Saccharomyces cerevisiae S288C: one gene and its partners. The gene in region 1 interacts genetically with each later gene. Each region holds a gene or a part of one and is shown on either strand. Other genes may lie near its edges.

What was found.
Region 2: mutations in INP53 (region 1) and HOM3 together harm fitness more than expected from each alone (negative genetic interaction), as found in Saccharomyces cerevisiae (3 studies listed by BioGRID).
Region 3: of INP53 (region 1) and SCS2, extra expression of one rescues a mutant of the other (dosage rescue), as found in Saccharomyces cerevisiae (2 studies listed by BioGRID).
Region 4: mutations in INP53 (region 1) and AUR1 together harm fitness more than expected from each alone (negative genetic interaction), as found in Saccharomyces cerevisiae (2 studies listed by BioGRID).

Annotation. Positions count from the first base shown.
Region 1 is NC_001147.6:519,909-529,101, forward strand, and holds INP53 (phosphatidylinositol-3-/phosphoinositide 5-phosphatase INP53), read left to right. Parts: upstream 1-5,369; coding exon 5,370-8,693; downstream 8,694-9,193. Other genes in the region: SNAP receptor VAM3, read left to right, coding at 1-64; GTPase-activating protein RGS2, read left to right, coding at 1,445-2,374; 2-isopropylmalate synthase LEU9, read left to right, coding at 3,119-4,933; transcription factor TFIIIC subunit TFC7, read left to right, coding at 9,033-9,193. UniProt on the Saccharomyces cerevisiae protein: Dephosphorylates a number of phosphatidylinositols (PIs) like phosphatidylinositol 4,5-bisphosphate (PtdIns(4,5)P2), but also phosphatidylinositol 3-phosphate (PtdIns(3)P), phosphatidylinositol 4-phosphate (PtdIns(4)P), and phosphatidylinositol 3,5-bisphosphate (PtdIns(3,5)P2).
Region 2 is NC_001137.3:253,860-262,330, reverse strand, and holds HOM3 (aspartate kinase), read left to right. Parts: upstream 1-4,372; coding exon 4,373-5,956; downstream 5,957-8,471. Other genes in the region: GIP2 (Gip2p), read left to right, coding at 1-279; YER053C-A (uncharacterized protein), read left to right, coding at 1,285-1,398; PIC2 (Cu/Pi carrier), read left to right, coding at 2,692-3,594; JHD1 ([Histone H3]-lysine-36 demethylase), read right to left, coding at 6,197-7,675; mitochondrial 37S ribosomal protein bS18m RSM18, read left to right, coding at 7,944-8,360. UniProt on the Saccharomyces cerevisiae protein: Phosphorylates aspartate, the first step in the biosynthesis of amino acids that derive from aspartate (the aspartate family of amino acids), including methioinine and threonine, the latter of which is a precursor to isoleucine.
Region 3 is NC_001137.3:398,232-405,388, forward strand, and holds SCS2 (phosphatidylinositol-binding protein SCS2), read left to right. Parts: upstream 1-2,903; coding exon 2,904-3,638; downstream 3,639-7,157. Other genes in the region: osmosensor SHO1, read right to left, coding at 1-824; AVT6 (aspartate/glutamate transporter), read right to left, coding at 1,265-2,611; YER121W (uncharacterized protein), read left to right, coding at 4,144-4,488; GLO3 (ADP-ribosylation factor GTPase-activating protein), read right to left, coding at 4,640-6,121; casein kinase YCK3, read left to right, coding at 6,582-7,157. UniProt on the Saccharomyces cerevisiae protein: Acts as an endoplasmic reticulum (ER) membrane anchor for cytoplasmic proteins via binding to the FFAT motif of targeted proteins. Regulates phospholipid biosynthesis by modulating the subcellular localization of the transcriptional repressor OPI1.
Region 4 is NC_001143.9:433,619-437,638, forward strand, and holds AUR1 (inositol phosphorylceramide synthase), read left to right. Parts: upstream 1-1,961; coding exon 1,962-3,167; downstream 3,168-4,020. Other genes in the region: BYE1 (Bye1p), read right to left, coding at 1-1,259; mitochondrial 37S ribosomal protein bS6m MRP17, read right to left, coding at 3,479-3,874. UniProt on the Saccharomyces cerevisiae protein: Catalytic component of the inositol phosphorylceramide synthase which catalyzes the addition of a phosphorylinositol group onto ceramide to form inositol phosphorylceramide, an essential step in sphingolipid biosynthesis.

The DNA of each region.
Region 1 (9,193 bases):
TAAGGTCACCCTAATCATTATAATAGTTGTGTGCATGGTGGTATTGCTTGCTGTATTAAGTTAGTAATCTCCTTAAACGCGCATTGAGCACAGACTTTCTGGTAGACCCAATCTTATCTATTTACGAAAACAAGAGTGTATAAGAGTGTATAAGTTATTTTTTGCATTTATTCTTTTGTGGTAGGGGGGTTTCTTAGCCGCTCTTTTTGACTCAAAATTTCCTTTGATGTCTAGTGATAGTGCACTTCCCATGTGCGCAACCTGTGTTTTTTGTACTCCGTAGTTTAAATGCAAGGGCTCGATATGCCCTTTTTCCTTTTTCTACTTTGTACGATCTACACTGACCTTTTTTCAGTAGTCCGTAAATCCCCACGAATTTCTACTAGCGACTGCCAATAAAAAAAGGATTGTGCTACTGTATGTAAAAAGTAAGAACCCTGTTATTTTCCGTTAACTGTCATTTGCCTTACTGTTGCTTAACGGCCGCCAACCGTTATCAAGAAACAAAACATTGTATGCGTTGTCTTCTAAATGAACCTTGTGGGCCCTGATAAACATAAGAACGTGTCTGGCTCGGAAGTATTTATCTTATTTCAATTTTCGCTTTTGCAGAACATCCTTGCCTGTCACTAAGATAAGGACAGAGCGTGGATTAATAAAAATGGCAGAATTTCTCGGCAAAAAAAGAAATCATGCATAATTACCTCGATGTGTACGTTATTGCGGGCACGATCCTGTCGCTACGGCCTGATAGTAGCGGCTATTCTGCTGGCGAAAATTTTCAGCAGTTTGAAATCTTACTGTGGCGTCCCGGTCCAGCCGAGATGACATCTAACTAAGAAATGTCCGCTGCGGCACACCCACGCCGTTGCAGCTAAAGTCGCGCACCAAGCACAGACCTGCTGGAGAATGAGGAACAAGGTTGCGTTAAATGCTTCGGGAAGAACTGCCGAACCGAACCGCTAGAAAAGTGCGCAGGTACCCCGATCGAAGCGGCTCGGCGCTCATTTTAGCACAATCAGAAAAAGGAAATTGAAAGAAGAAAAAAAAAACATAATCATTAACAATTCTTTTCTTGAGATATACGTATATATGACGTCGTCATGTAGTATCTCTTTCGGGATACCCTTTGTAAACGTCCCTTTGTGGAGATGAAAAAAAAACTTGCTGAATAAAGATAGTTAAGGCGCTAGTAATCAAATTAATAACATATTATACCACATCACATCTATACCATTTCCGTTGCACATTGCTTGAACCAGTTGCCAAAATTGACTAAACGGATTTTTACAAAGTCAACGGTGATCACTAAAAGCAAACAACTCAAGCGACGAGGCAAGGAAAGAGAAGAAAAAAAAAATATTACATTGGCTATATAAATATCAAAACATCTTAGGTAAGGCACCTTTGATACATAAAACGAAGAAAATTCAGCACATGCCAGATGGCGAGTGTACCAAGTCTATGCGACATACTGATACCGCTAGAAAAGAATAGTCGCAGCGACGGCGATGCTGAAAGTAGCAATACAGTGCTGATTCAACTGCGAAAAGGGCATCACGAACGGATGCGTTCTCCTTACACAATACAAAAGTTTTACAAATTTCTAAAAAGAGCTCATTGTGAGGAAAATTTAGAATTTTTCGAAAAAGCTCATCAGTTCCTCCAGCTTAAGCAAAACAGGAGTATTAGCGAGGAGAAGCTCTTGGAAGTTTGGAACAAGTCGTTGTACATAAAATACATTGCCGTGGACTCCCCCAAAGAATGCAACTTTTCACAGGATACTAGGGAGATATTTGAGAAGTGCTTTGCTAACAATGAAGTACCTGCCGACGTAGACGTCCTGTGTGCCATTAGCCATGTGATGGGCCTATTAATGGACGGGTATCACCGATTTGTGAGTTCTGTTAATGAGAAAAAGTACTCCGCCACATATGCCCACAATGACTCTGCTACGGAACAAGATCTCAAAAACGAGTCTACAACTTCTTTTTCGTCATTAGGCGTGGAGGATATTTCTGAAGATAGAAATTCGTATCTTAAGAAGCCTGATATCAATGGTTTGTCAACTATCATTCAAGAAACGTCTGCAAACACGACCAATGAGTCGCAATGCAGCGATCGCACTTCTCGGCCAAGCGAGTCCTCTTCCTCACTCAACACTACCAGCTCGACCTACAAGAATACCAGCACTAGAAATCTGCAAAAACCGCAAAATACAGGAATTCTCAACTCGGGGAAAGGTTTATTGCAAAAACTTAACTTTGTTAAAAAACGGAAATCTTTCAAACAGCCTTCAGGCGTCATTTGTAGCCATTATAACAGCAATGTTCAAAACCGTTTGAAAGGACAAAACAGTCATCAACAAAGATAGCCTCTTCATCATCTGTGGAGACACAAATATCTTCATCCTCATCGCCATTACCCAATAAAGCGATCGGTAAAAATGAAAAAAGCGTTGAAAACGGCTTTAAAAAGCTAAATTTGCATGATATCAGTTAATCAAGATTAGAACTTTGATTAAGTAGAACAACGATAGAAAATCCGCTTTTCTGGCTAGTTCCCTCGTTTCATATTAATTCATTTCACACAATTTACTTCATTTCATCACGCTCATATTGTTTGTAACTTTAGTTTTTATTTAATTTTACGTACATGACACTGCATATAATTATTTCACAGGCATTTAAAATAAGAGCATTGGGCACAGTCTTCTTTTATATGTTGTCATATTCAAACACTAAACATTTATCTGTATAGTAATTAATGTTAGCTCTTCCTTCTGCATGGCGCTTGTTATATACTTCATTCGTCTATTTTGGTGCCGCGCGCCATCATGGTCCGGTAACGGTCGTAGTGAATGACTCATATTTTTCCATCTCTTTCGGCCTTGCCAAAAAATGAAAAAAAAAAAAAAAAAAAAAAAAAAAATTAAAAACGATGTCCAGAATCACAACTACAACATAGTTTTGCCTCTTACTGGCTTGATTGGAAGTTAGCTGTTAAATTTCAATAATGCCTTACTTTACTCCACGAAATCACAATCCTTGTTTTCGGCTTATAAGGGTCTTCTCCTTAGGATAATACTATCGGCACATTATCATTTAGCCGCGTAGCCATGGTAAAACATTCGTTCATAGCGCTAGCTGAGCATGCTAGTAAACTAAGAAGGTCTATCCCACCCGTCAAACTGACTTATAAAAATATGCTACGGGACCCATCGGTAAAATATAGGGCGTTTGCTCCACCAAAAATGGTCAAGAGGATTTGGCCTGACAAAACTATTCAAAAGGCTCCACGTTGGCTGTCTACTGACTTGAGGGACGGTAATCAATCTTTACCGGACCCAATGTCTGTGGCTCAAAAGAAAGAATATTTCCACAAGTTGATCAACATCGGTTTCAAAGAAATCGAAGTGTCTTTCCCCTCTGCATCTCAAACAGATTTCGACTTCACCAGGTATGCTGTAGAAAACGCTCCAGATGATGTTGGTATTCAATGTCTTGTCCAATCTAGAGAACACTTGATTAAAAGAACCGTGGAAGCATTGACTGGTGCTAAAAGGGCTACCATACATACTTACTTGGCCACAAGTGACATGTTCCGAGAAATTGTCTTCAATATGTCTAGAGAGGAAGCTATTTCTAAAGCTGTAGAAGCCACCAAACTGGTTAGGAAACTAACCAAGGATGACCCTTCCCAGCAAGCTACTCGTTGGTCCTATGAGTTTTCTCCCGAATGTTTCAGTGATACGCCAGGTGAATTTGCTGTAGAAATTTGTGAAGCTGTTAAAAAGGCTTGGGAACCTACCGAGGAAAATCCGATCATTTTCAACTTACCAGCTACTGTAGAAGTTGCCTCTCCAAATGTTTACGCTGATCAAATTGAGTACTTCTCTACCCACATTACTGAGCGTGAGAAGGTCTGTATTTCTACGCATTGTCACAATGACCGTGGTTGCGGTGTCGCCGCCACAGAATTAGGTATGCTTGCAGGCGCTGATCGTGTAGAAGGTTGTCTATTTGGTAATGGTGAACGTACAGGTAATGTTGATTTGGTTACAGTTGCCATGAATATGTATACCCAAGGTGTTTCTCCTAATTTAGATTTCTCAGATTTAACTTCAATTTCTGAAATTGTCCATCGCTGTAACAAGATTCCAATTCCCCCAAGAGCCCCATATGGCGGTGAATTGGTTGTTTCTGCCTTTTCTGGTTCTCATCAGGATGCAATTAAGAAGGGATTTGCAATCCAAAACAAGAAACAGGCTCAAGGAGAAACTCGGTGGAGAATTCCATACTTACCATTGGATCCAAAGGATATTGGACGTGATTACGAAGCCGTCATCAGAGTCAACTCTCAATCCGGTAAGGGTGGTGCTGCTTGGGTTATTATGAGATCTCTAGGATTAGATGTACCAAGACCAATGCAAGTTGATTTCTCCAATACTCTACAGAAAAATGCAGATGCCTTAGGAAGAGAGTTAAAATCCGAAGAGATTACAAAATTGTTCAAAGAAACTTACAACTACAACAACAATGAACATATATACGTCACCTTGTTGAATTACGAAGTTAAGAAATTGAACCCAGAGCGTAGAGCTTTAGTGGGCCAGGTAGAAATCAACGATAAGGTTGTCAACATCGAAGGCTACGGAAATGGTCCTATCTCTTCTTTGGTGGATGCGCTATCCAATTTACTGAATGTTAAGTTGAGCGTTCAAAACTACTCTGAACATTCCTTGGGTTCTGGTTCTGCAACCCAAGCGGCATCTTTCATAAATCTTTCCTACATAAAGGACATCAATAATCATGCTACTAGTAATATGTGGGGTGTTGGTGTCTCCGAAGACACTGGGGATGCATCTATTAAGGCGGTATTTGCTACTGTCAATAATATTATTCATTCCGGGGATGTTCTACTGGCAGAGTAATAGAAAGGAGTAGCTTATGATTACTCATGTTATATATATATGTATTTTTATTTATAAATGGCACAGAAAAGTAACTTATTTCACGTTAAAAAGACATCTTTCAGCGAAGTTTCCAAACACTTCTTCGATGTCTGTGTGGAAAGTTTCTTTCGTTTATAGTTTTATTATTTTTTTTTGCTTTTTTTCCCATGGTACCATTTCCTTTCGTGAAACATTTTACCCAGGCCCACCCACCGCATAATCTTAACTGAATCCGAATAGGGATTTTTCGAGCACTACTGCAACTGTTGAGTGAGCTAGGAGTAGTGTAATTTGAGACTTTGTGAAGGGAGAACAGTCAATATCCAATATCATATTAAGAAAGCTAGCAGTACCTTAAGAGGAAGAAAGAAAATAACTGGGGCGAAGAATATCTAGTTATCCACTCCTTCATAGAATGATTATCTTTGTTTCAGAAGAACCTGAAAGGAGGCTAGCCATTGTATCCAACTTGTATGCTCTTGTTCTTAAACCGGTTGGGAAAAAGCCATCTGATAAACCCCTTTGTGCCATTGAACTTCTTCAAAAAAATGATTTGAAAAAATATGGCTTCAAAAGACTTACATCACACGAAATTTTTGGTGTTATCGGACTCATTGAGGTTAATGGCCTGCTGTTTGTTGGTGCCATCACTGGGAAATCAAAAGTTGCACAGCCATGCCCAGGAGAGACTGTGAACAAAATTTTTGCTGTCGATTTTTTTTGTTTAAATGACAACAGTTGGGATTTTATTGAAATCGACTCCTCAGGTTATCCTGTGTTGCCGGAGACTGCTTCAACTGAATATCAAGACGCCTTGCCAAAACATCCATGCTATGAATTGAAGAAACTATTATCCAATGGATCTTTTTATTATAGTTCAGATTTTGATTTGACCTCAACCTTACAGCATCGTGGATATGGTCAGCATTCTTTGAGTACAGATACCTACGAAGAAGAATATATGTGGAACTCTTTTCTCATGCAAGAAATGATCACATACAGAGATCATTTGGACACAAATTTGAAACAAATCTTGGATGACGAGGGGTTTTTAACAACAGTTATCCGTGGATTTGCGGAAACTTTCGTCTCGTACGTTAAGAAGTTGAAAGTTGCTCTTACTATCATCTCGAAACAGAGCTGGAAAAGAGCAGGAACAAGATTTAATGCACGTGGTGTGGATGATGAGGCAAACGTTGCCAATTTCGTAGAAACGGAATTCATTATGTATTCTAGCCAATACTGTTATGCTTTTACACAGATTAGAGGCAGTATACCTGTATTCTGGGAGCAAGGTACCTCTTTAATCAATCCAAGAGTACAAATTACAAGATCATTTGAAGCCACCCAACCGGTATTTGACAAACATATCATGAAATCAGTGGAAAAGTACGGACCTGTGCATGTCGTTAATTTGTTATCAACGAAATCTTCTGAAATTGAACTTTCAAAACGATACAAGGAGCATTTAACTCATTCAAAAAAATTGAACTTCAACAAAGATATATTTTTGACAGAATTCGATTTTCATAAAGAAACTTCGCAAGAAGGCTTTTCCGGTGTCAGAAAACTCATTCCATTAATATTGGACTCTCTTTTATCTTCTGGCTATTATTCTTACGATGTTAGAGAAAAAAAGAACATATCTGAACAACATGGCATATTTAGGACCAACTGTTTAGATTGTTTGGATAGAACAAATTTAGCTCAGCAAATTATTTCTTTGGCTGCTTTTAGAACTTTTCTCGAAGATTTCCGATTGATTAGTTCAAATTCGTTCATCGACGATGATGATTTCGTTTCTAAACATAACACCCTGTGGGCTGATCACGGTGATCAAATTTCCCAAATATATACTGGTACTAATGCTTTGAAGTCCTCATTTTCAAGAAAAGGTAAAATGTCACTTGCTGGGGCATTATCAGACGCCACAAAATCGGTCAGCAGAATATATATTAACAATTTCATGGATAAAGAAAAGCAACAAAATATCGATACTTTGTTGGGAAGGTTACCGTATCAGAAAGCAGTGCAACTTTATGATCCCGTAAACGAATACGTAAGTACGAAATTACAAAGCATGTCTGATAAGTTCACATCAACCTCCAACATTAACTTGTTAATAGGATCATTCAATGTTAATGGCGCAACCAAAAAAGTTGATTTATCAAAGTGGTTATTTCCAATCGGTGAAAAATTTAAACCCGATATTGTTGTTTTAGGTCTTCAAGAAGTTATAGAACTATCTGCGGGTTCGATTTTGAACGCTGATTACTCGAAAAGCTCTTTCTGGGAAAACTTAGTGGGTGATTGCTTAAACCAGTATGATGATAAATATCTGTTGTTAAGAGTAGAGCAAATGACTTCTTTACTAATTTTATTTTTTGTTAAAGCAGACAAAGCTAAATACGTCAAACAAGTGGAGGGTGCTACTAAAAAAACTGGCTTTAGGGGTATGGCTGGGAATAAAGGTGCAGTGTCTATAAGATTTGAGTACGGTGCCACTTCATTTTGTTTTGTCAATTCTCATCTCGCAGCAGGAGCTACGAATGTCGAAGAACGTCGAAGTGATTACGAGAGCATAGTTAGAGGTATTACTTTCACTAGAACTAAGATGATTCCTCATCACGATTCGATTTTCTGGTTAGGTGACATGAATTATAGAATAAATCTACCGAACGAAGACGTCAGAAGAGAGTTGCTCAACCAAGAAGAAGGATATATCGATAAACTGTTGCATTTTGATCAACTTACCCTAGGTATTAATTCTGGCAGTGTATTTGAAGGCTTCAAAGAACCAACTCTCAAGTTCCGTCCAACATACAAGTATGATCCCGGGACAGGAACTTATGATTCTTCTGAAAAGGAAAGGACGCCGTCATGGACAGATAGAATTATTTATAAAGGGGAAAACTTACTTCCTTTATCTTATTCAGATGCTCCGATAATGATTAGCGACCATCGGCCAGTTTACGCAGCATATAGAGCAAAAATAACTTTTGTTGATGATAAAGAGAGACTATCTCTCAAGAAACGTTTATTCACAGAATACAAACAAGAGCATCCCGAAGAACCGGGTTCTCTGATATCGGATCTTCTCAGCCTTGATCTGGATAATAAGAGCACTGATGGATTCAAAAGCTCTTCTGAAAGTTCTCTACTTGATATTGATCCGATAATGGCACAACCGACAGCGTCCAGCGTTGCTTCTTCGTCACCTGTGTCTTCAGCATCGGCTTCACTACAACCTGTCAGAACTCAAAACAGTAGCCAGTCGCGTACCCCCATAAAGAAACCGGTATTGCGCCCCCCACCCCCACCTGCTCATAAATCTGTATCAGCACCTGCTCCTTCAACATCGAAGGAAAAATCACCAACACCACAGACCTCAACTGCATCGTTGTCATCTGTGACTAAAAATATACAGGAAAATAAACCATTGGCGCAAAATAGACGAATTCCACCACCAGGTTTTAGTCAAAATATATTAACTCCAAAAAGTACCAGTAACTTGGCTTCGCCTATGTCTTCTAAGGTTGATTTATATAATAGCGCGAGTGAATCTACACGTTCAGCCCAAGATGCAAGACAACAGACACCTACAGCATTTGCAGCATCAAGAGACGTCAATGGGCAGCCCGAAGCTTTGCTAGGTGATGAAAATCCAATTGAGCCAGAGGAAAAGGCCAAACTAAACCATATGACTTTAGACTCATGGCAGCCATTGACCCCAAAATGAGAATATGTTATCTTTGAAGTGTGGTTGTTGTTCCGTTTGTATCCCTTTAAATGAACGAAGAGAAACAAGGGGGCTAACCTGGCCAGGTTGTTTTATGTGATTTTATTTAGATAAATATTTATATAAATATTCAGTGAGAGAAAAGGAGTGCGTTAATAAGGCGCGCCGGGTTTAAAGCTGAAAAATAGGACACATTAATATATATACGTTAAATATTGGTGAATACTTATGGGCAAGGTGGAAGAGAATCTCTACTATCCATAAATCCTCAGTAGGCTTTCCCCTAATTACCTTCATTTTTCTACCTCAATAACATATTACTCCTTTTCAATACATTTTATGGTGGTGAACACGATATATATCGCAAGGCATGGATACAGATCCAACTGGCTTCCGGAGGGTCCATATCCTGACCCACTTACAGGAATTGATAGCGATGTTCCTTTAGCAGAACACGGAGTCCAGCAAGCCAAAGAGTTGGCCCATTACCTTTTGTCCTT
Region 2 (8,471 bases), on another chromosome or scaffold:
CGATATACGTGGGATAGTTGGAGAACAACACATGAAGTGGAATGCGTTTACATCAGTGATGGCGATGGAATATTGCCGGGCACTAACATGGACATTTTCCACTTCATTATCGATGATGTCAGCAAAGTGGATCCTCGCGGCAAGTTAGAATTTTGCATTCATTATTCTACACGTAACGACTATGAGCGCGAAGAGTACTGGGACAACAACAACGGGAATAATTATAAGGTGGATGTTGTAATGGATGGCTTTAACGATCCCTTCGCGGCGGCAGCATGAAGGCAACCAGAAGGAAGGAGATGAAGAATGGACATAAAAAGCAAAATGACTTGCTAGATCTTGGCCTGAGTTACTCTCATGATTGGGACCGAACTCCGATAAATAACTCTAAAACATGCTAGAATATTTCAAGTAAATATACATAAATCACAAATAAGCAAATAAACAGATAAATATCTCACAAGAAATCGGGAGCCGATCTTCGATGTGTGTGGGCGTATATACAAATGTGCATTCGGCACGTAAAAGACTGGTAAAGGCTACCGTCCTTCAGTGAGCATTTTTTACATTCATTCAACGCTATACAGCTCTTACTGTGCGACGGAAACGCGACAAAATGTGAAGAGAAAACTAGGGGTTGCTATGACACGACCACGGAAGGCCTAAAAAGTTAAGTGACAGAAATCGTCATTGGTAAAAAAAACCCCGAACATGCCGATAAAGACTTGCTTATTCACCTACGATGACTTCAGAAGTGCGCCTATATTTCTTTACTTTTGAACACCCTTCCACCGCCCATTTAGAGAGAGCTATTTTTGTGCCTTCACTTCCGGCAGAGGTTATATTTTTTTTTTTTTTTTTTTTTTGCATACTACTCCTACTTCTTTCTACAGTCTCATCCCGACGCTTCAGTTTGAAATGTAAGGGACTGCGGCATTTGACTGAAAGAAGGGAGAATGGATGGTTTACTTTACTTTTTACGTAATGAAAAAAAAAATGATTGCTGTATTAGGACATCCCTGTTCTTTTATGTGGTAGCCTATATCCGATAACTGTTCAGCTATAAGACGTGAAGAGAGATTTTTTGGTACCCCTTATGCATTCAATTAAATAGAGAATTAGATATTTCTACCGATGTGCATTTTGTATATAAAGAAGTAGGAATCCCTTCTACAACGACAGAGGTAGACATACTGCTTGGAAACATTCTTTTCGTCCTTTTACAGAATTCTACATAGAAATAATAAAAACAAACAATAGCTTTACTACACAGTACACACTACAATGCAAGATTTAGAGATTTTTTTGAGTATTTTCGCTTTCATTTTCGTTTTCTACTTTGGTGCTCATAGAACAGTCATGAACAGAAACAAGAGCGATGTTCCTTACTTGCAGTGATTTAAATCAGCTAATCTGCTTACTGCCGCCAAGAGAGGTATGCAAAGTCAGTTCTACCTAGTCTGGCTTAGCGTTTTACTATTTACGAAGTTGATGTTCTGTTTTCTAATTTATCTTTTTTCTACTCATTCATTTCCACACTACACTTAATATTTTTTCAATAATTTTCGATGTTTTTAATCCGGTTTTCTATTGATGAGCGCCTTCTTAGCTCATACTTAATACACGTTTTTTAAGATTTATACGTTTGACAGCTCACGCTGTTTGACCAAAGTTATTTTCATTTTTATGTTCGTAATTATGTATTTTTGCTATTGTATATGATATACGTCTATATTTAGGCAATTATAATATGATTATAATATAACTTACTACATCTCTAAAACATGCTGTCTAGCCCTTCCATCGCAAGACTCGGCTAGACATTCGAGGAAGGCACAAAAAGCCACCTATCCCCATCTCTCCAAAAAGCTTCATTTCGAAAATAAGAAGGGAAACATCCGAATAAGACTAAAACTTTGTTCCTTCAATGACTACTAAGTTATTAGATGTCAGAAATCCCGCAAAATCGCCCGCATATCAAGGTAAGCGGCAAAACCCTATTCTTGAAAAAATGTAAATACTAACCGTGTGAGAATTTTAACGGTGTATTCCAAAAAGTCAGCACGTGATCTGCTAAGAAATCCGAACCTCGGCCTTTGTTTTTTTTGTTACAGCATAGGGAAAAGACGCATTGTGTCAAAAAGGAACATCGTACCATTACCCTCTCAGCACATAGGTAATAAGGTGACAAGTAGCAAGTGAAAAGTACCGCTTACGAAGAATACTTTAATTCAACGTAGATACTGCAAAATATTCAAGTCATTATTTTTGGCCCTTAACTTGCCTTTCCAGTTCTTAGATTCATTCATATGCTAGCTAGCAACAACGGTCACTTTGGGTTGCATTTCACAATCTCATTCGGCTAAGATCTCGGCTAACCAAAAGTTGGACTTCAGGGGTATTAGCGAAATAAGGAGATCTTTTTTAGGTTTATTCCTTGTTTTTAGTTTCATTTTGCTTAATAAAAAGGAAAATGGATATATCGATTTTCTGCATACCCTGTTACATTTGATATAAATACAGCGGGACCTACCAAATATACTTTCATTTTGCTTGTGTTTTATAGATATTTTATTTTTTTTTCCAGGCAGTCAATGACACATTGTTAACTGAAAGTGTTCTGTTATTGTTTTAATTCTAAAAAAATAAAGTAAGGGAAAAAGAGAACGGACTCATTGACAGTTGTAAAGCATGGAGTCCAATAAACAACCACGTAAAATCCAATTATATACGAAAGAGTTTTATGCCACATGTACCTTAGGTGGTATAATTGCGTGCGGTCCAACACATTCTTCGATCACTCCACTAGATCTTGTCAAATGTAGGCTACAGGTCAATCCCAAGTTGTATACTTCAAACTTACAAGGGTTCCGTAAGATTATAGCTAATGAAGGCTGGAAGAAAGTATACACTGGGTTTGGTGCTACATTCGTCGGATATTCGCTACAAGGTGCAGGTAAGTATGGTGGTTATGAGTATTTCAAGCATTTGTATTCTAGTTGGTTAAGTCCTGGTGTCACTGTGTACTTGATGGCCTCAGCGACCGCTGAATTCCTCGCTGATATCATGTTGTGCCCATTTGAAGCTATTAAAGTGAAACAGCAGACTACTATGCCGCCCTTTTGCAATAACGTTGTTGATGGATGGAAAAAAATGTATGCAGAAAGTGGAGGTATGAAAGCATTTTATAAAGGTATTGTTCCCCTATGGTGCAGACAGATTCCTTACACAATGTGTAAGTTTACCTCATTCGAAAAAATTGTTCAAAAAATATACAGTGTTTTACCTAAAAAGAAAGAAGAAATGAACGCATTACAGCAAATATCAGTCAGTTTTGTAGGTGGTTATCTGGCAGGTATATTATGTGCTGCAGTCTCACATCCTGCAGACGTTATGGTTTCCAAGATCAATAGCGAAAGAAAGGCCAACGAGTCCATGTCTGTAGCCTCTAAAAGAATATATCAAAAAATTGGCTTTACTGGGTTGTGGAATGGGTTAATGGTGAGAATTGTCATGATCGGTACTTTGACAAGTTTCCAATGGCTAATTTACGATTCGTTCAAGGCTTATGTAGGCTTACCAACCACCGGTTAGCTGATCGATTCAATCGGCAAGGTTTATCGTAAACACTCTGTGCTAGAGGAATATTGTATACACAGGATTTCATAAAGTTAGTAAATGACCGGCATTTATAGTTTGTTCTTCTTTGCATATGTCTTAATAAATATTCGTCCTACAATTTCTTTTCATACTAAGAGTTTTGTTATGATTGCCAAATTTCTCAAGCCAAGAACAGGCCCAGGAAAACTTTGAAAGTGCCATATCAGAAACACATTTATAAGGTAGTTTCGATATACGGCAATACTCGATGCATGCCCAAACTTGCCAGCCGCTCGCGATTGAATCTTCTACAATTTTTAGGTGAACATATTCAGAGGCTGAGGCCTTATTTGATAGTAACATCAAATATCACTCCCACAATTTACAATCACTGTCATTGGTCTCACAGGATCCTTTTCTTTCTAGAACTCCCCTAATATCAACTTTTTACTCTACTGTGGCTCTAACCACGTGTATTTTTCAGGCCCATGACTCACCTTTTCTTTCTTTTTCACTAGCAAACGAAAATTTCATCATCACTTTTTTTTTTTTTCACTTTCCGTACGCAGTCTTCTCCAGAGATTCTTTTAGCTTCGAAGAAATAATGTATAATATCCATATATAAGAATACTGCTGGATAATTATTTTATTTCTATTTTAACAGTGCTCTACTCATTGAAGGATATTTGTGTAGCCAATACTCTCTCCATCGCTTAAGCTCACATAGCTATCGCATTTTATCACAGAAGCTTTCATTTTTTTTAACTTTTACATGCCAATGGATTTCCAACCTACATCAAGTCATTCGAACTGGGTCGTGCAAAAGTTCGGTGGTACATCTGTCGGTAAATTTCCCGTCCAAATAGTGGATGACATTGTGAAGCACTATTCTAAACCTGACGGCCCAAACAATAATGTCGCTGTCGTTTGTTCCGCCCGTTCTTCATACACCAAGGCTGAAGGTACCACTTCTCGTCTTTTGAAATGTTGTGATTTGGCTTCGCAAGAATCTGAATTTCAAGACATTATCGAAGTTATCAGACAAGACCATATCGATAATGCCGACCGCTTCATTCTCAATCCTGCCTTGCAAGCCAAGTTAGTGGATGATACCAATAAAGAACTTGAACTGGTCAAGAAATATTTAAATGCTTCAAAAGTTTTGGGTGAAGTGAGTTCACGTACAGTAGATCTGGTGATGTCATGTGGTGAGAAGTTGAGTTGTTTGTTCATGACTGCTTTATGTAATGACCGTGGCTGTAAGGCCAAATATGTGGATTTGAGCCACATTGTTCCCTCTGATTTCAGTGCCAGCGCTTTGGATAACAGTTTCTACACTTTCCTGGTTCAAGCATTGAAAGAAAAATTGGCCCCCTTTGTAAGTGCTAAAGAGCGTATCGTTCCAGTCTTTACAGGGTTTTTTGGTTTAGTTCCAACTGGTCTTCTGAATGGTGTTGGTCGTGGCTATACCGATTTATGTGCCGCTTTGATAGCAGTTGCTGTAAATGCTGATGAACTACAAGTTTGGAAGGAAGTTGATGGTATATTTACTGCTGATCCTCGTAAGGTTCCTGAAGCACGTTTGCTAGACAGTGTTACTCCAGAAGAAGCTTCTGAATTAACATATTATGGTTCCGAAGTTATACATCCTTTTACGATGGAACAAGTTATTAGGGCTAAGATTCCTATTAGAATCAAGAATGTTCAAAATCCATTAGGTAACGGTACCATTATCTACCCAGATAATGTAGCAAAGAAGGGTGAATCTACTCCACCACATCCTCCTGAGAACTTATCCTCATCTTTCTATGAAAAGAGAAAGAGAGGTGCCACTGCTATCACCACCAAAAATGACATTTTCGTCATCAACATTCATTCCAATAAGAAAACCCTATCCCATGGTTTCCTAGCTCAAATATTTACCATCCTGGATAAGTACAAGTTAGTCGTAGATTTAATATCTACTTCTGAAGTTCATGTTTCGATGGCTTTGCCCATTCCAGATGCAGACTCATTAAAATCTCTGAGACAAGCTGAGGAAAAATTGAGAATTTTAGGTTCTGTTGATATCACAAAGAAGTTGTCTATTGTTTCATTAGTTGGTAAACATATGAAACAATACATCGGCATTGCTGGTACCATGTTTACTACTCTTGCTGAAGAAGGCATCAACATTGAAATGATTTCTCAAGGGGCAAATGAAATAAACATATCCTGCGTTATCAATGAATCTGACTCCATAAAAGCGCTACAATGTATTCATGCCAAGTTACTAAGTGAGCGGACAAATACTTCAAACCAATTTGAACATGCCATTGATGAACGTTTAGAACAATTGAAAAGACTTGGAATTTAAATCCACCTTTCTTCTTCACTTTAATGATAGAATATTAATTTTCCCTTTATATATATATATATATATATATACGCGCACATATATTTACATATATATTAATGTTTTGTAACCTATATTGGGGCGATTATTCCCTAAATGTAATGTCAGGGTTATACTGTATCAATTGCTAAAGTAGATCTCATTCATCGAGAGCATAGGATGAAATAAAAGATACAAGAACGTGGCGGACAAGAAGAAATTTTACGAAATAAGATCGGCTAAAGCTTTCGCTAAATGCTTCTTTGAAGTGAAATTTAACGGCTTGTACTTAACTTCAGGTTTTATAACGTATGCATGAAGTGATTGAATTGCGCAATTAGTGGTCCTGGAAAGCAAATCCCCATCACTGACATCACTAGTGATTTTATTTTTATCAAGCGCAAGATACTCGCATAATTTACCCATCACTTGATCAAACTTCGGGAAGGTAAATCTTCTAGGAACCTTTGTTAACTTTTCAATTTCCACAATTTTAAGGTGTGTCTCCAAATCACGGATGGTTAAAAAGTTGCCTCCAAATACCAAAGAGTCTACTGGTGTATAAACTGCATGAATATATCCAGCTGGAATCATAAACAAATCACCAGCATCTAATTCCATCGCAATACCATCCTCAAGAATATCACCGAGGAAAACACTATTTTGGTCTTCTTTTAAAGACCACTCAATATACTTATCTATGTTTGATTGGGTAGGTGGAAATAATAAAAACTTCTTCTGTCCTGAGATAACGTTATAATAAACAGAGGTACCGGCAAAATCCAAATGAAAATCCGTATAAGCATCCTTTACAGACATCAAAATATATTTGGTCACTTTTGGCTTGGGGTCATTCTCCTCCGCCTTCTCCCCATTGACTTTTTCTAAATGTCCATTGAAACTCCAAATTTTATCAACAAGATCATTCTGCCTAACTGCAGTGGGCCTCTCTAGTTCTAATCCCTCAATATTAGAGACTTCTAATGATATAACATTCCTTATTCGATCCCTCCTGTCTGGTTCAGTATTTGTAAAATATTCATTCCAAGATCCCAAGTTCCAATTTTCATTCATTTGTGATTGAACGTCCATTACATCAACATGATAATCCTCGCCTATCATTTCGGTGATATAATTAACTGTGAGGCATCCATTGTCTGTGCCCACATTCGGTACATATACTCCGCTATTCAGTGGATCGATGATCTTGTACGGCACATCTATATTATCAAACTTTTCAGCAAAGTCAGCGGCGTTTATAATATTTGAGCCATTTTTCCATTTTTCAAAAGATTTCATGAAACTCTCCTTATGAGGGTGATTCATTTTATCCCTTTTCGATTCACCCTCATTCAAAGCGATATAGTCAAGTAATTTCTTCTTTCTGAAATTATACCGCTTATTTATATGACTATCTTCAGGGTTTTCTTTATTCCTTTGCCGCTTTCCTTTTTGTGTGATGAGAGCGTATGCGGTAAGATATTCTCCTTCCTTATGATTAGGACAACGGTAGCTCTTGATTTGCTTCGCAGAATTTGGATAAGACAGAACTTCAGAACTTGTAAGATTTGAATAGTGAATGCGTTTCAAAGGCACGCATTTCACGTGGACCCACTGCGGGCAACTATCACACTTCACCCAAATTAATGCGCCTGGATTATCCTTCAACTGGCAATGCTGGCAAATATTGGGATCTTGCATTGCACCATAGCTTATTAGTATTTTGTTTTATGATCATTACGTCTTCTTACTCATTATAATCACCCACTTCTATTAGATGTTCTATTATGCCTTTAAATTGCATTGTAGGGTAACCTGTTGGGGGAAAAAATATCTAGGATTACTTTACATACTTAAATATGAGTCCATTATTAACAGTGTTACAGTTCTAACCAAAAAGGCAAGGTTCTACACAAAACTTCGGATGTTCAAGATGAATGCCACCACAGGCATAAAAATTCAAAACGGTATGCAACCTATCATCAAGGGAGCAGTAAGCTCCACATTTAAACGTGCTCTATACAATTTCGGTATCAAAGAAAAGAAGAGTGTCAATATTGAAATGGGGAGAACGCAACAAACAAAGAAAATCGATCAGTCTTTGTCCAAAAAACTTCCCAAAGGTACTATCTACGATCCATTTGACTTCTCTATGGGACGAATCCATTTAGATAGAAAATATCAGGCAAACAAGAACTCAAACAGGAACGATATAATGAAGTCCGGTGCAAATCCACTAGAATTTTATGCAAGACCAAGAATACTTTCAAGATATGTGACCTCCACGGGAAGAATCCAACATAGGGATATCACAGGCTTATCGGCAAAGAATCAAAGAAGACTATCGAAAGCCATTAGACGGTGCCAGGCAATAGGATTAATGTGAACTGTACTACACTAATGCTTCTCCACATGAAATAATTAAGAAAATAAGGCATTTCATAGTTCTGTCTGTAAATATACAATATGTAAAAAGAATCGCAATTAGATCTTAAGT
Region 3 (7,157 bases), on another chromosome or scaffold:
GTATCGAACGTATTACCTATATTAGTATTGGTTTGATTATTGCTATTATCATTGGTTTCCTTCGCGTTGCTTGCGCTATTGATACGTTGTTGTAGAGTGTTCAAGTGAAGATTAACGGCTTCTGAAGTATTTGGCTGAGTATTCTCAAAACCAGCCAATGCCGTAGAAGATACATAATTTGTGTGAGAAGGTTGCTGCTGTGGATATCCATCAAACTGTGTCGCGTAGCCTGAGTCTCGTATAGCATCATTATAGACATTATTTTGGTAAGGCGTTGTGTTCCTATTGCCTCTTCGACGAGCTCTATGAAGAGAATTCTCTAATGGCGAAGGCCTGATACCCTTAATGGAAAACGAATCAATCCATCTATTGGTTGGGGAAGCATTATCACCGCCGTAGTACAGAATCCAGATTAAATTTATGATGGAAAGTAAGATGACACCTGCTGAAGCAGCAGCTTTCTTGGGACCATCCGCATACACTAAATTCGTTGCACTGTTTGTATTATACACAAATGCCACTGCAATAGATGTGGTGATGAAGATTCTGTAATGATCGACTAAATCAAAACAATAGAACAGCATTAAAGAACAAATAATTAGAAATTGGTATACTATACCCCACCAAGTAAAACGTGGGAAGGATTCATTGGTGGATGCAGATGAGATGGAGCCCCCGATGGCGATGACCCACGATACAATTGCCAAAGAAATTGATGATATAGCGAAAGGATCGGCATAAAATTTTTTCATTTTAAAAGAATGGTCGGTAGCCATACGTGAAGGTTTACGAGGAGTTGGTCTTATCTTTGATGATATTGACATATTTTGAAAACGTGATTTTTGGTGTTTCTGAAAAGATGGCGTTGATCTATAATGTCCAATGTTGTTTTCAAATTATTGGGTTGGCTACTGTTAATAACACGCCCTTTCTTTTAGCGATTCTGTTGAGCAAAGAAAGCTGATATGATAGACAATGATACCTCACTGAAAACGAGGCTCAATGACTTTATTCGTGTTCCTGTGTTCTTTGCATATTTCAGCAATCGCTGAAATTTTTATAATACGTATGAAGCAAAAGCCCGACTCCGAAAGCTGTTGTGTGTAAATAGATTGAACGCGTTGGGAATGTAAAACGCGATTAAGAATTTCTGATTTAACGCAGGTGCTAGGTTATTAATAGTTTCTTACGCGGATATGTAGGTTCAAGGGTCTATGTACGTATGGAGGAATAGCAAAAAAAGAATGAGTATACTCTTGCTTATTTAGTTTAGCTTCAAAGCTGCGGTCAGGCAGGTGATCATGATTATTAGCCCCCAGATAAACAAGAGAAGACCTGTGTATTTGAAAATCTTTGTCGTCAATGGCACGGCTGTCTTGTGCTCAGTTCCTATAAGCTTGTAGCCAAAGAGCCCGGGCAGAATGAAAGAAATAGAAGTGGAGCCTGTGGCCCCAACAATGGCCAGTACACGGGCCAAGGAGGAAACCGAAATGGCGACAAGATATGATGCAACTAAAATGCTGCACGTTATAACAATAAAGCTCTTGCCTCTCAATGGAGTCTCCTTAGGCTGATAAATAGATTCTTCTTCAATTACCTCATTGAGGTCAAGGCTACTGTCGCGAATCAACGGAGAACTTTCGGTAGCAACAGTGGGTTCATCCGCCGATGTAGCACTTATACTTACATTTTCCTCGGCGAAGTGTTGCAAAATCTGATGGATTGAAGCTCTTGCAGGATGACACTGTAGTGGGAACGCCAGCATCACCAACAACACAATCGCTATTCTGCCGATGGTGCTCGAGACCGCTTGCGGGTACAGCATGATAATGTTTCCAATGATGTTGTCGCCGAATGTCAGGTATCCAGCACAGCCGATCGCAATATATAAGATGAGAGCCAAAGATATTGCTATCAGTGGAATCTTCATCACATGCTCGAACCGGCTTGACCTCTGCTCATTGATTATTGAAAACATATTGTGGTGACATGTGTAGGCAAAGACAAAAATTGGAAGAGTGTTTAGCACGTTCAAATCATGCGATTGTGGTGGCAGGAGGTAGGAGATCCGGCCTTTCAAGCGAAGAATCTCATCTGATGGTGCTACATAGTGCAACAACACCAAAACACACAAGTACGCTACAGAAGAGATGGCCACCATGGAAGCGTACCTCAACGAATTCAACTTCTTCAGAAAAGACAGCGGGGCCACGAAAAAAAGCATGATCAGTGAAATTTGCACGTTCCTGTTCAACAGCCAAGCATTTCTGGTCCACACAGACATTATTTGGGGCATCAGATCCCCAACTACAATCATATAAGAGACGCCCACACCAAAACACTTGATAGCGATCGCTAGGTCAAACACAATACCTAGATTTGGGTTAATCAACCGCGTCAGAGCACTGAACGAGGCCCTCCCCTGTGGTACGTATTTAGCTACACGAGCTTGTATGAACAAGCTTTGCATAGCGCACGCCCCACACAGCACTATCATTATCACTCCAGGAATTAATCCAAACGGCTTGAATGCGTACGGCATGGCCAGGATACCAGCACCGCACGCCGTGTGTAAAAGTGTCAGCACACCTGATCTAATACTAGCTACCATATGATGCACGATTCCTTTCTATGGTTATTGAGCTGTGAAACTAACCCGTCGTTCGACCATTGTTGTTCTATATACTTCTAGTTGCTGTATAGATAAGCTCTCCGATCCCCTAAACGTGCGTGGTGATCTTACTCTTTCGCCCTCGCTTTTTTTTTTTCGCTTGTTGTTTTCGCAAGGTGAATAGAATGGTTTTAGTAGCAAAGTGCATTGTTTATTGTGTGGTGTGGTTTGACGCACATTCTGTGTTAATAGTGTAGCAGAAGGGTATTCTACAATCTCCGCGAACCTAAGTATGTCTGCTGTTGAAATTTCCCCTGACGTGTTGGTGTATAAGTCTCCATTAACGGAGCAATCGACAGAATACGCTAGTATTTCCAACAATTCAGACCAAACCATTGCATTTAAGGTCAAGACCACAGCCCCAAAGTTTTACTGCGTGAGACCAAACGCCGCAGTTGTTGCTCCAGGTGAAACAATCCAGGTTCAAGTTATCTTCCTGGGTTTGACTGAAGAGCCTGCCGCAGACTTTAAGTGCCGTGACAAGTTCCTGGTTATCACGTTGCCTTCTCCTTACGACCTCAATGGCAAGGCTGTTGCAGATGTTTGGTCCGACTTGGAGGCTGAGTTCAAGCAACAGGCTATCTCTAAAAAGATAAAAGTCAAATATTTGATAAGTCCAGATGTACACCCAGCACAGAACCAAAATATACAGGAAAACAAGGAAACTGTTGAACCAGTAGTCCAAGACAGTGAGCCAAAGGAAGTGCCTGCTGTGGTAAACGAAAAGGAGGTCCCTGCTGAACCGGAAACTCAACCTCCCGTCCAAGTAAAGAAAGAAGAGGTCCCACCTGTCGTTCAGAAAACCGTTCCTCATGAAAATGAGAAGCAAACGTCCAACAGCACTCCGGCCCCACAGAACCAGATAAAGGAAGCCGCAACCGTACCTGCAGAAAATGAATCATCCAGCATGGGTATATTCATATTGGTTGCACTCCTTATCTTGGTTTTAGGATGGTTCTACAGATAATAGGGAGATTGAGGATATAGCTGTATTCTAAATATATATTTATATATGTGTGTGTTTTGCCCTTTCCTTCCTTTCAGTCTTTATTTTACTTTGTTTTTCTACAATCTTTTTTTATTGTTTCCTTCTGTAGCCTTTACAATACTAGAACAAGGAACTAAAAGATCATACTTTCCTAACTTTTTTATATGTTTTATTTTTTAAATAGGAGAATAATCGATAACTATACCACTGTTGTAACATATTACTTGTTTAATTTATTCATGTTCGGTTTCCCTAGTGTAGTAGGCGCTATCTTGGGCAAATAACTATCCGTTATTAACCATAACAATGCGGGGTCTACTAAATGAGGGGAGGGTCTTGGATGCACATTAACGAAGATCTTGCGAGGGGGTCGCGCCTAAAAGGTCCATAAATAAATGAATACATAAACAGCCACCTACTTTCAGTTTGTTTTTTGCTAGGTCTCATAGTGAACGAGGGACTCACATATTGACAATATAGTAACATGGGCTTATCGCGCTGGCACGACAAGAATTCAAGGCCAGCAGAGGAAAAGAGCGAAGAAATGCAACAGGATGCGCACTACTACGCCCTTGCGGCAAGTGATAGTTTAAATGCAAGTGTTTCTAACGAATATGGTAATCAAGTAATGAACTCGTTTTGGAAAGTGGGTATAGACTCTCCCTATGTGGACGATGAAGCAATTAGAAACAGAGATGTCGAAAATAACTTACCTTCTTTAAAGCAAAGTGTTTATAATGCTAATGAACCAAATGCTACCTCGTCTGCATTTTCAACCGCTTCATACGCACATGAAACTTTCGATTTTAGAAACCTTAAACTAAGATAAGGGGGGATGAAGAATAAGAATAAACGCACGTACAATGCATATACAACCGTTTCTATGTACCATAAATATAATTATCATATAATGAAAAATGAGAATAAAAAACAATGATAACAATGAAAAAAAAAAAATTCAATTAAAGAGAAAATTAAACTTATTTTCTTAAGTAGTCCCTTAAATAACTACCGAGTTTTTCAGCACCCTGTTCTACAACGTCTCTCAACATCTGCAATTCATCATCTGCGGAGGCATTAAAATCGATGAAACCGTTATTAGAATTACGGCCATCAAAATTCCCTGCTCCACTTCCACTACTATTGATGGGATTACCAAATTCATCCACTTCTTTATCTTCTCCAAAGTATGAAGAAGAGGAAATTGATGTAGCATTGTCAAATGTTTTCAACTTGTCATGCGCTTCCCTGTTTGCTGCTTCATCAAATGAGCCACGACCAAATAATTGATCAGATGATATAGCTTTTTGTGTGCCGTACCTTTCCGCGATTCTGCCCGTATATCTTGGTCCCTGAGCTATTTTCTGAGATTCTTTTTGTTGCTTTGCCAAATCATTGGCGTCATTCATGGTCATACCAAATCCCAATTTGGCAAACTTGGGTGTTAAAGTATCTTGCTGTTCTTTTCTAGTTGTGTCGAAGCTGTTTGAAGTGTCATTTAAAAAATCATTGAATTCATCAGGCTGGGTATTAATATCATCTATACTGTTATTATTGTTGCCTTTACTGTTATTCATAAATTGGGAATCGTAATCATTTTGTCTAATTTTGGTGCTAGAAGACGAATTAGTGAACTCGTCCTCCTTTTCTTGTTGAGCCTCTTTTTTAAATTGATCAAACAAGTCTTCTGCCTGTGATTTGTCGACTTTCTTTGCGGTTAGTCTAGTGGGCTTTCTTGACGAAGACAAAATTGAATGTTTCTTTTTATCTTGCGAGTTTAATACCGGTTTCTTTCTGCTAGCCGTTAAGATGGAACTTCTCGTTTTAGTGACAGTGGTCTTGGGTGTGCTGCCTGTGGTGTTGTTTTTTGGGGCGAGAGAGCCTGTATTTACATTGAGTTTAGAACTGGAATTGGAGCTTGGTTTTTGCCAATTAGAGAAAAAATCGTCAACACTATTTTCTTTGGAAGTCGACCTGGAAGCGTCTGAATCGGTGTCCAACGGTGAGTCCGAAGAATCTTGACCGTTCAAGACTAATTCTGATGGGTATAACTCCATATCCTTTTGAACCTTCTTGTCGAGATGTATCTTATATTTCTTAGCAACAGGGCTCGTATATTTTGTTTTCGCGTCAACATTTGCTGTATTTAGTAGCTGTTTCCCATTGTTCTTTAAGAAAAAATCACGAGCCTTATGGTTCCCACCCAACTTAAACCTTCTTAAATTGTTAATTGTCCATTTATCTAATGTAGAAGACTTTACAAAGGTGATATGAACACCCATGTTTCTATGCACAGCAGAGCATTGAATACACAGCATCACACCAAAAGGTACCGAAGTCCAAGTAGGATTCTTGTTACCACAATCAAAACAAACTCGATTTTCCATGTTGCTACCTAGCTTCTGAAAAACTTGTTGAGTAGTCTGTTCCGTGGCAAATGTTTCTCCTTCATCGTTACTCATTGTCGCTATGTGTATACTAAATTGCTCAAGAAGACCGGATCAACAAGTACTTAACAAATACCCTTTCTTTGCTATCGCCTTGATCTCCTTTTATAAAATGCCAGCTAAATCGTGTTTACGAAGAATAGTTGTTTTCTTTTTTTTTTTTTTTTTTCGAAACTTTACCGTGTCGTCGAAAATGACCAAACGATGTTACTTTTCCTTTTGTGTCATAGATAATACCAATATTGAAAGTAAAATTTTAAACATTCTATAGGTGAATTGAAAAGGGCAGCTTAGAGAGTAACAGGGGAACAGCATTCGTAACATCTAGGTACTGGTATTATTTGCTGTTTTTTAAAAAAGAAGGAAATCCGTTTTGCAAGAATTGTCTGCTATTTAAGGGTATACGTGCTACGGTCCACTAATCAAAAGTGGTATCTCATTCTGAAGAAAAAGTGTAAAAGGACGATAAGGAAAGATGTCCCAACGATCTTCACAACACATTGTAGGTATTCATTATGCTGTAGGACCTAAGATTGGCGAAGGGTCTTTCGGAGTAATATTTGAGGGAGAGAACATTCTTCATTCTTGTCAAGCGCAGACCGGTAGCAAGAGGGACTCTAGTATAATAATGGCGAACGAGCCAGTCGCAATTAAATTCGAACCGCGACATTCGGACGCACCCCAGTTGCGTGACGAATTTAGAGCCTATAGGATATTGAATGGCTGCGTTGGAATTCCCCATGCTTATTATTTTGGTCAAGAAGGTATGCACAACATCTTGATTATCGATTTACTAGGGCCATCATTGGAAGATCTCTTTGAGTGGTGTGGTAGAAAATTTTCAGTGAAAACAACCTGTATGGTTGCCAAGCAAATGATTGATAGAGTTAGAGCAATTCATGATCACGACTTAATCTATCGCGATATTAAACCCGATAACTTTTTAATTTCTCAATATCAAAGAATTTCACCTGAAGGAAAAGTCATTAAATCATGTGCCTCCTCTTCTAATAATGATCCCAATTTAATATACATGGTTGACTTTGGTATG
Region 4 (4,020 bases), on another chromosome or scaffold:
GCATGAGTCTGTTCTATTTTACTCTTATCGCTGTCGATACTGTCAATGTTGTGTAATCTTATGCTGTCTTTTGAGTACAAAATATCCTCTTGAGGTTCAGCGATATCTTCGATCAGCTCATCACCCTTGTGGGTCTTAACGTACATGGGTTTGTCAGGTACCTCCACGATAAAATTTTCTAAGATAATCTTATCCCTTTTCTCTTTAAATTCTTGTAAGTCAGGATTTGCGAGTTCAGATGCGTTCATGTTCACCAGTTTATTTAAAGGCAATTTGCCCTCGACAACGTGTGCCTTCAGTTCCAAATTTTTTTTATCCTTTAAATTAGAGTATAACGACCTCACTTTCTCTGTGTATATCTTGTCCAAAGTACCAAACTCGACGTTAAGGCAAGCTTTGTAAAGTTCTTCTTCCAGATTGTGCGCAAACTCTTGCGATATCGATATAACGTCTTTCCCATCAGGAAGCTCATAAAGTTTTGCCTCAATTGTTTCGGGAACGATGAATTTGCTAAATAAGGTAGAGAACATTTTTTCTGCATTATACCTCAGTTTGTGTTCTTTTTCGCTTTCAAAATCTTTCCTAGTAGGCATTTCGTTTTCGGCAGTATCAGACTTGGCGGCATCAATGCTTTTATTCCTTTTTTTTGACCCATTGGATTTCTTCACCTGTTTGGATTTGATATGAATTCCTTTGGCACTATCGGGGCTCCTTTTTCGTTTCCTAGGGCTTTCCTCATCAAGAAAGACATCTGCATCATTGTCATCATGGTCATTTACGGGCTTGTAAACATCATCATGGTAATCTTCATCCTCTGAAACCTCTGCCTCCTTTGACGTTTCCAAATGTGCATACAATGATGGGTCGCACAATTCACAGTAGTACTTAGAATCTTCACTCATTAGCCCATCTATGGTGTCTTTACCATCAGTCATACATTTAATATGCTGCCAAGTGTCACAGCCATCGCACTGTACCATGTCGCCATGCGAATATTCTGCAGCATCGTAGTTTTCATTGTTCGCCCCACACAGACATCTAACATAGCCCTCATCCGCTTCGTCTACTTCGTCTGTTCTTACATTTTCAGTATCTTTCCTTGGCTCCTGAGAAGAATCAGACTTCTTATTCTTCTCTATGGCTGAATCAACTTTCTTTTTAGTTCTTTTTTTCTTTGGTGCTTCAGTCTCCTCCTGTAACAAATACTCAATATATTTATTCTGACCCTTATTAGATCTTGAAGAAGTACGGACAGACATAATAAATTTAAACTAAATAAAAGCTAAAAGTAAAAGAGAACCTAGGATAATCGATAGCTCCCTGTGTATAGAACAAGTCAAAATACTAAGATCTCGTCAACCTATCCTCTTTCATTGCAAGCCTTTTGGCCAAACTGCAGTCTGGGCATCCCTTTGCATGTCTTGTGAAATAGTATCCATCTCTCCCCAGCTCCCAGAAATGATATGAAAAGTTATTCGTGAAGAGTGATCCTAAAACTGAAAAAAGGAAAAAACAAAAATGAGCTAAAAAAACCACAACAAAAGAATATCAACTTCATTGCTTGGCGGGTCATCGCTTTTTTATTTCTTTCTGTCAAAGAATAATAAAGTGCCCATCAGTGTTCATATTTGTTACAAAGTGGTTTTCTGATTTGGTACTACTGCAGAGGCGTATTTTTTGCTTCAGTTACCATAGCGTAAGAACACTAGCGACTTTTGTTCGTGAACCAACAGAGTAGGATTTCTACTGCTACATCTCTTAGGTAGTTGGTTAGTCCGATCGCTCACTTTTGGTTGTTGTTAAGTACTTCATAAGTTTATCCTTTTCCTTTTTCACACTGAGCTACTTTGGGTATAGCTTTTGGCCCAAGGATCTTTGAATTTTCTCCAAAAGTACTTTATTTTATATCCTACAGGTTGCGGTTTTCATATTTTAAAAAGCTTTTAATCATTCCTTTGCGTATGGCAAACCCTTTTTCGAGATGGTTTCTATCAGAGAGACCTCCAAACTGCCATGTAGCCGATTTAGAAACAAGTTTAGATCCCCATCAAACGTTGTTGAAGGTGCAAAAATACAAACCCGCTTTAAGCGACTGGGTGCATTACATCTTCTTGGGATCCATCATGCTGTTTGTGTTCATTACTAATCCCGCACCTTGGATCTTCAAGATCCTTTTTTATTGTTTCTTGGGCACTTTATTCATCATTCCAGCTACGTCACAGTTTTTCTTCAATGCCTTGCCCATCCTAACATGGGTGGCGCTGTATTTCACTTCATCGTACTTTCCAGATGACCGCAGGCCTCCTATTACTGTCAAAGTGTTACCAGCGGTGGAAACAATTTTATACGGCGACAATTTAAGTGATATTCTTGCAACATCGACGAATTCCTTTTTGGACATTTTAGCATGGTTACCGTACGGACTATTTCATTTTGGGGCCCCATTTGTCGTTGCTGCCATCTTATTCGTATTTGGTCCACCAACTGTTTTGCAAGGTTATGCTTTTGCATTTGGTTATATGAACCTGTTTGGTGTTATCATGCAAAATGTCTTTCCAGCCGCTCCCCCATGGTATAAAATTCTCTATGGATTGCAATCAGCCAACTATGATATGCATGGCTCGCCTGGTGGATTAGCTAGAATTGATAAGCTACTCGGTATTAATATGTATACTACAGCTTTTTCAAATTCCTCCGTCATTTTCGGTGCTTTTCCTTCACTGCATTCCGGGTGTGCTACTATGGAAGCCCTGTTTTTCTGTTATTGTTTTCCAAAATTGAAGCCCTTGTTTATTGCTTATGTTTGCTGGTTATGGTGGTCAACTATGTATCTGACACACCATTATTTTGTAGACCTTATGGCAGGTTCTGTGCTGTCATACGTTATTTTCCAGTACACAAAGTACACACATTTACCAATTGTAGATACATCTCTTTTTTGCAGATGGTCATACACTTCAATTGAGAAATACGATATATCAAAGAGTGATCCATTGGCTGCAGATTCAAACGATATCGAAAGTGTCCCTTTGTCCAACTTGGAACTTGACTTTGATCTTAATATGACTGATGAACCCAGTGTAAGCCCTTCGTTATTTGATGGATCTACTTCTGTTTCTCGTTCGTCCGCCACGTCTATAACGTCACTAGGTGTAAAGAGGGCTTAATGAGTATTTTATCTGCAATTACGGATACGGTTGGTCTTATGTAGATACATATAAATATATATCTTTTTCTTTCTTTTTCTTAGTCAGGATTGTCGTTTAGCATAATATACATGTAGTTTATTTAATCACATACCACTGATTATCTTTAGAATTTTATAAATTTTTGAAATAAATGGGTGGCTTTTAATGGTGTCTATGTTAAGTGAGGCTTTTAGAATGCTCTTCCTGCTTTGTTTATTATATGTGTATGAAAGATATGTATGTATTTACATGTGTTTGTAGCGTCCCCAGTCAAAACCTGTGCGCTATACCTAAATGGATTGATAATCTTCATTCACTAATTCTAAAATAGACTTCTTCCCCAAAGAACGGTGTAACGATGAGGCTCTATCCAGCTGCTTATCTAAATCAACTTTAACGATGGATGATCTTATGACACGGGGATCTTTCTTTAAAGTTCTTAGAATTTCAGACTGTACCGCAGCTGATGAATCAAACAGCATTAAAAAGTGATATGCTCGAAAATGTTTTTCCTGGTCTTTCTTCATTATTTTAGGAAGATACCTTATGCCCATGGGTACAATGTCCCTCACCACACCTCTGTTTTGAATAATCAGTTTCCCGATTGTGGAAGACAATTCTTTTGCTTCCAACTTTGGCGCATTGGAGTTGGTTATGCGAACAAGTCCGATCAGCTCATAAAGCATCTTAGTGAAAAGGGTGGTTTTGCGTTATTCTTTCCTCTGTTGAAGCTTTTCTATTTTGTTTAAGCTGAACTAGTGGGAGTTTCCATTAAAAGGCTAAAGTCTTGTTGAAACTTTTCCGGGTTAGATGATAACTGCGAAAAGATAGA